Linked DNA regions of Drosophila melanogaster. The protein of the gene in region 2 purifies or fractionates together with the protein of the main gene of each other region. This does not show direct contact. Each region holds a gene or a part of one and is shown on either strand. Other genes may lie near its edges.

Region 1 (3,264 bases), on a different chromosome or scaffold from region 2:
TCCGACCACCATACGATTACCACACGTGAATCCGGAACTATTCAGGCAGTTCATCTTGTACGTTTACACCGCAAAGGTAAGAAAACTACTTATTAGTAACATCTAACATAATAAAATTATAACCAAAATTCATTTTTCAGTTGGTTCTCCAGGACTCGCAAGTATTTCAAATGATGATATTGGCACAGGATATCGGTGTGGTTGAGCTACGAACTGCCTGCGAGGATCACGTTATATCGACATTGTCGGTGGATAATGCCTGCACATTTTTAACCGCCGTTATGGATATACACGAAAAAGCAGGTTAGTAATATTGAGTAGCTCTTTTAGAAAATCACACCTTTAAAAGTAAGCAATTATGTGAAGTTGCATATTCGCGCCAAAACACTTTATACATTCTACATAATATGCTATGTCAAATGTATTGAGACTAACCATTCTGAAAGTTTTGGTATTTTTTGTACCACATCACATATCGATAAGAAAAAACATATGCACGTTGTGTTATCAGAATCACGTAACACGCAATGCATGTTTTTATTGCATTATCAAACTTTAGATATAACAACTAATCAATAGCTGGCAGATATAGTTAGTCCCAAGCTGCTCCAAAATGCAGAAGCCGATTCGTGTGTTTAGAACTTGGATTGTTCACGTTGTATTCTTTGGCCGTACACCCGAGAAATGAGGTTCCACGAGTCCATAAACCGGTCCATGCACATGGAAATGCATTTCTAAATTGGATATTAATGAAATACTATTTAAATACATATTCTATAGTGCAAAATAAGATATGTATAGCTTGCCTGTTCGGACGAATCGAGGGAAGTTCCCGGCTTATTGACACATTTTTTGAAGCACTTTTCGGTCATTTGCGTGAGCAATTCCTGGGCATTCGCAACAGCAATCTGTTGCTTAACCTGGTCCATAAGTTCACCTTTGTCCACATTAGCCATAGCCATTTGTTTGGTTTTCTTTATAAACTATAGTTTAATTCAGCTATGAATAAATGGCAACAACTTCTGCCCAACCACAAAAACTTAACAGTGCGATTGTGATAGTGTTTCTATCGATATGGTTATGCTACCAGAGGATTTACCATTTTGGTATCTTTAGGCTGGTCGATAGTTCGGTAGGCCGCGATTATGTGTGACCATCTGTGCTGTGCCATCGATATTTCTGCCTATCGCCTGGACGAAAAGAAGACGCCGGCAAAAAGAAGCGAAAATTTGTTTAACTCAAATTAAGTCGTCGGAAATCAGCAAAAATGTCGTTCAAAGGAAATCCCAAGGTGCAGAAGGTGATGGTGCAGCCCATCAACCTGATCTTCCGTTACCTGCAGAACCGGTCCCGCGTGCAAGTTTGGTTATACGAGAACATATCGCTGCGCATCGAGGGCCACATTGTGGGATTCGATGAGTACATGAATCTGGTGCTGGACGACGCCGAGGAAGTCTATGTGAAGACCCGGCAGCGCCGCAACCTCGGGAGGATCATGCTCAAGGGCGACAACATCACGCTCATACAGAACGTCAGTCCCACGAAGGACTAGGCGACTCAGCGGCCATCCTGCGAATCCTTCGAATTCCACCTGCAAACGCTGAACGCCCTTAATATAAGTAAAATAAATGTAAAGCCGATATCTGAAGACGAATGTTGAAATAAATGGTAGACTTTCTGTAATCAAGTGTTTCTAATGGGTAAGGTAGCAAATACGATCCGATTTCAGGACATATAGAATAGGATGCTGTCTCAAGGTAAAAGCCGTTGAGTGTCTTTAAAAAACAAGGAATTAATTTTAAACTTTCCCTTTAAATTTCAGGTGCCAAATGCGCTGCCTCGTTTATGGAACGCTGCATCATCTACATAGGGGAAAATGCAAATGAGTGCGTTAAGACTAATGCCTTCCTTACTTTAACAAAGGATGCCATTATTAAGATTATTTCCTCAGACTATGTAAGAGTTTATAATGAATAACCACTCAATTTACTGAATTTCTTTAATTACCAAAACTGTTAACTACCAATAGTTCTGCTTGGAAGAGGAGGAAGTGTGGCGCTGCGTTTTATCCTGGGCCAAATACCAGGCAGGAGTCACCCAACCCACTGCACATTGGACTGAGGAGGAGCGTGCTCGTGTCTGCCAACACTTAAGCGGTGTAATGGGTCACGTGCGTCTGCTTCTCATCGATAGCCAAGTTTTCGCGGAGGAAGTGGAACCTACAGGAGCTGTACCTATGGAACTATCCCTAGAACGATATCGCTATGCCGCTTTGCATGCCAATAAGATGATGGATAACGATAAGAGACTTCAGCCCCGCCTAGCTGTAGCGGTCAACATGTTTCCCGGATCCCAAATCCTGAAGAATGACAATCTGGCACTACAGACTGTTCTCAATAATTGGGTTGGAGTGGGCAAGCAATCCTGGAGATTAGTTTTCCGAGCGTCCACTCATGGCTACGATTCTGGAGCCTTTCATCGTTATTGCGACGGCGTGGCTCCTTGCATGGTTATTGGCTTGGGATCGCATGGAGAGATCAGTGGTGGTTATACGGATGTGGCGTGGGCCAAAACAAGCCGAAAGGGGGGATATGTTCAGTCCGAGCGAGCCTTCCTCTTTGCCTTGAATCCAGCCAATGGGGAACAGCCGGTCAAGTTTGATATTGTAAAGAAACCATATGCCATTTGCTATCATCCTGAGTAAGTGATGTCTAAAATAATCTTATATATTACATTATGTTTAGGAATTCGTACTGATTACCATGTCTGCTTTCCCCTTTAGTTGCGGTCCCATTTTTGGTGCTGGAGCCGATCTGCTCATTTCCAGCAACTGTAATACAAACATGGACTCATACTCGAATCTTCCGCATTCCTACGACGGAACCAACGCTGCTCACCTGACACTTTTCGGGGACTATAACTTTACCATCACCGACTATGAGGTCTATACCCTTTCCTCGCCGGCAGGAAGTAGTAATAGTGGAGCAAATCACAGCAATAATCAGAACCTGAACCACTCAACAAACGGCCAAGCTCCTGGGGTGCCCACAAAGGCAAAATACGATAGATACTAGAATTGGGGAAACAACTTGTAGTTGCATCAGCTATGCTGGCAATAAAACTATTTCCTTGAACGATCCAAACACTCGAATATTGTAATCCCAGATCCGCAACGGCTGGGCTAATGGCATTAGGTGTCGGGTTCATGACTCCGCCCAAGGTAAAAACCAGAAATCGAAAGGTAATTAATGAATTGTTATATAA
Region 2 (3,757 bases):
GCTGCGCTATGCGGATCGGAGAAAAAGTTATAGAACGCCGCTTCAGCCGCCGATCGAGTGCAAAAAACCGATTGAAAAGTAAAGAAATTTTGTTTGCAACGTAAGACACGCACGCACACACATACGCACAACCGCACGCACTCACACATGCACACGCTACTCGCTGTGTTAACAGCACTTTTCACTTTTTTTTGCACTACCAGCTGCCCGGTTTGCGGCCATTTATCGGATTCTATCGCACGCACGACGGCCAAACTCGCTGGTAGCCAATAAGCATTCGCTCTGGAGCTATTTAGTCCCGGTTTTACGTCGCTTATTACATTAAGGTTGCCTAGTGAAATTATTATATTGGAGCGGACGACTAGGGATGCAAGAGAAATAATCGATGCCTGTCGTGCCAGCGCTGGTATCGCTATCCCGACTATCGATGGTGGCCGAAAGTCGAATAGTCTCAATCGATTGGTTTTCCGATCGTATTTTATAGCGATAACAAAAGCGCAAAAATAGCGAAATTCAAACACTACAATTTTTTATTTAGGAGTTAATCAAACTAGTAACAATTTCGAATGAACCGGAAAAAATTTGTGAATGAAAGAACTTTCTTAATAAATTATTTTTAAAATGTATTAACTTTAACATAAATTTTGAGGAAGAAACTTGTTAATGATTTACATTAAGTGTCAATGAAAGTGAAAGAGGTGTGGCCCCACATTGGGCGCCAGAAACATTATCTAAATAATATACGCGTCTATCAAGAGCAGCAAAGTGATAATTAGCTCATAAATATGAATGAGCAGTTGTGTGGGCCAGCGATTAGAGTACCTAACTTCACCCACAATGCCGTATTAATATCAACTAAGTGTGCCTGCAAGTGCAATTGAGTTGTTTGCTTTGGCTTTTCCTTTCACGCGAACTGAGGCACTGAACCACTGAGGCACTGGACCACTGAACCACCAAAAACCACCGAATGGGGCGACGTAACAAAAGGGGGCGCACTCTATAAATTACCGCTGTGCAATGGCCAGTCGGCAGTGGTTAAACAAAGTTGGCTTAGCTACTTGAATGACCATATAATCTCCATGCACACGAGTGGATATATTTTATCTCCGTTGTCTGTGTGGTTTGCACACACAAATTTGCAGCTGGGAAAGCAGACCAGTCACGCAGTCGCAAATTGTTACAATTAAGGCCCACTAAAAATTGACCGTGAACTGGTTACGACTGCAGCGGATTCAATGGCTTCTAGGGCCCGACCTTCGCCTTAACTCTCAAACTTAAAGTTTTGCCCAAGTGAATAGTCACCATAAAGTGGCTTCAAATTTGTGCCACCGTTTTGGCCACCCACCAGCCCCTGGCCAACTTCACGGGCTTATTTTTATAGCCTACACAGAGAGAATCATTTAAGTCCAAGTATTTTTGAAGATTTTTCAATTAAGTTTCCTAACAACTTAATAAAGTTCCTTAAATAGTGTAAAAATGTTGTCCATCACTTGGCTTTCGAGTTTTCGTTTTTAATCATTTATTTAATACTATTCTATTATACATATTTTCTAATATGAATGTTAGAAATTCTGTGTGTAGTTGCACCAAATCTGCCAAAAAAGTATTGCCCGGTCATTGTTATTATTGTTTCTTTCTGCTCTCACTGTTCGTTTTCAGCTGCTACTTTGCTATTTGCTATTAACACGCTTTTGAGCCATTTATGCCGGTGTACTTGGCTCGCTGCTGTTGACCAACTAGCAACGAGCTACCAACTGCAAACGAGCCACTACCGCATTTCCCCCAGCCGAGCCAGCTTCAATTTTCGATAGCCGCTCGAGGCGAGCAGTTCGGCGCAGAGTGGTGGTCAGCTTGAGTTCCTGGATGCGAACATGTTGTGGATAATGGGGCTAGTAGTGGCCGCTGTGCGGCTCAATGGACAGGCGAGCGGTGCGGCAAATGTCACGGTAATCGAAGACATTAGGAGCGCCTTCAGAGGCGTCACCAACGACACGGAGCTGCTGAATCACATAATACCGGAAATGTACGGGGCGAGCATGCGCAGTGCGAATCCCTCCTTTGTCTTCAAAATGCCTAGCAAATCGAACGGCGGTGGCGACGACTTCGAGCTGCTAACAATGCAGCGATCCGATTTCGCGGAACCAATCTTCCCCAATATCAGCCAGTCGGCCACGGCCATCGATTCACCCAGTACCATTCCGCCGGAAACGAGCGTGAAGACCAGTCTCATGGTATCGCCGCAACAGGATTGGCAGCAGATGGGTCTGGATGGCTGGACGGGGGAGCTGAAGCCACCAGTAGCCTCGCTGGAGCAGGATCATAGGTGAGTGGGAGTTCCTTGGAACATTACCTATATAAAAAGATTTGGCATTTGGAAAAAGTTACTGACCAAAAGTTACTTACAAAATAAATGTCTTTCTGTTCTGGTTCATTAACTTAAATGGAATTTCTGGCTGCTGTTCTTAATTAAAGAGAAACAGCTGCTGTTCTCTAATTAATACTTTATTTTAAATTATTATTTTGCTTCTAAGATATGCTAGTTAGCTAAATGTTTCGAAACATCTAATCCATCGCAAGACAAATTAATGTTTACGCCCCAAGTCGATTTACAGGGACACTCGACCGCCGATCAGCTGGCAGAACTCGTATCCCCACGACGAGATTCGTCTGGAGTTCCAGAACCACCACTTCGATGGCCGGGTGACGGACATACGCGTGATAACACAAACAACTAGTAAACCAGCTGAGATGGAGGACCTGATGAATGTTCAGAATGTGTACATAGCGCGGGTAAACGATCCCTTCGGTTACTCCATGAAGTGGAGCTTCACCAACGACAGCAGCCGGGAAAAAGAGCTTTTGCCGGAGGGAGATCGCGGAAAGAGGGACGTTGCTCGGCTGTACTCCATGATCAAGTGCTCCACGGGCTGTGATCCGCTGATCTACAAGGGCTACGGCTGCTACTGCGGATTCGGTGGCCACGGAGTGCCCGCCGATGGCATCGATCGCTGTTGTCGCGTGCACGACAAGTGCTACGGTCAGAGCAACTGCATCTCCTATCTGGAATACTTTGTGCCCTACGTGTGGAAGTGCTACCGCGGCAAGCCGCTGTGCGCCGTCGATCATGGCGAGTTCGGTGGCCCCGACTCCTGTGCCGCTCGTCTCTGCCAATGCGACCTGCGGCTTTCCAGGTGCCTCAAGAGGTACTACTGCCCACACCGACGCTCCATTTGCCACTCGTCCAGATCTCGACGCTTACAGAACCTAATATTCTTCGATTGATGTTTATTGTTAATGCATGTAGCATGTAAGTTCCAAAATGAAATGCATAAATGAATACGTGTGAAAAGTTAAGTGAGCCTAGTGATGCCTTTGGCTCTTTCGGGAGCCGCTCCTGGCCTTGCTTCCGCTCGATTTATCCGCTCGCAAGCTTCCCGTGTTGCTCACCGGCGTGGCCGTGATCCCTGCCTGCACGTCCGGCAATTGGGAGAACTCTTTGATCGCCTGACAGTCCTGCACGAACAAACGCGCCGTTTTGTGCTGAGCCGTGTGTGGTTTGTAGGCCACCAAAACGTTGTGGGCCATGAGCAGGACATCCCTGTGCAGCTCGCTCAAGCTGCGAATGAATCCCGAGTCGATGTTCCGCTTGATGGTGGGGAAATCCATGGGGCGTAGGCATAGATCCGCATGTCGCTGGGCGTGCTCGTCGTGGAAGGGACGCTTAAAGGGAGCCGCATGCTTGCTGTCCAGCAACATG

What was found.
Region 1: the proteins of CG14507 (region 2) and CG34132 purify together in Drosophila melanogaster (affinity purification with mass spectrometry, with the first as the bait; one large-scale study listed by BioGRID). This does not show direct contact.

The regions. Positions count from the first base shown.
Region 1 is NT_033779.5:7,883,347-7,886,610, reverse strand, and holds CG34132 (uncharacterized protein), read right to left. Parts: upstream 1,109-3,264; 5' UTR 963-1,108; coding exon 807-962; intron 735-806; coding exon 636-734; 3' UTR 502-635; downstream 1-501. Other genes in the region: small ribonucleoprotein particle protein SmE, read left to right, coding at 1,268-1,552; CG7102 (uncharacterized protein), read left to right, coding at 1-76, 141-303, 1,823-1,956, 2,030-2,700, 2,783-3,074.
Region 2 is NT_033777.3:29,225,792-29,229,548, reverse strand, and holds CG14507 (uncharacterized protein), read left to right. Parts: upstream 1-1,823; 5' UTR 1,824-1,871; coding exon 1,872-2,323; intron 2,324-2,612; coding exon 2,613-3,282; 3' UTR 3,283-3,345; downstream 3,346-3,757. Other genes in the region: Brd8 (bromodomain containing 8), read right to left, coding at 3,361-3,757.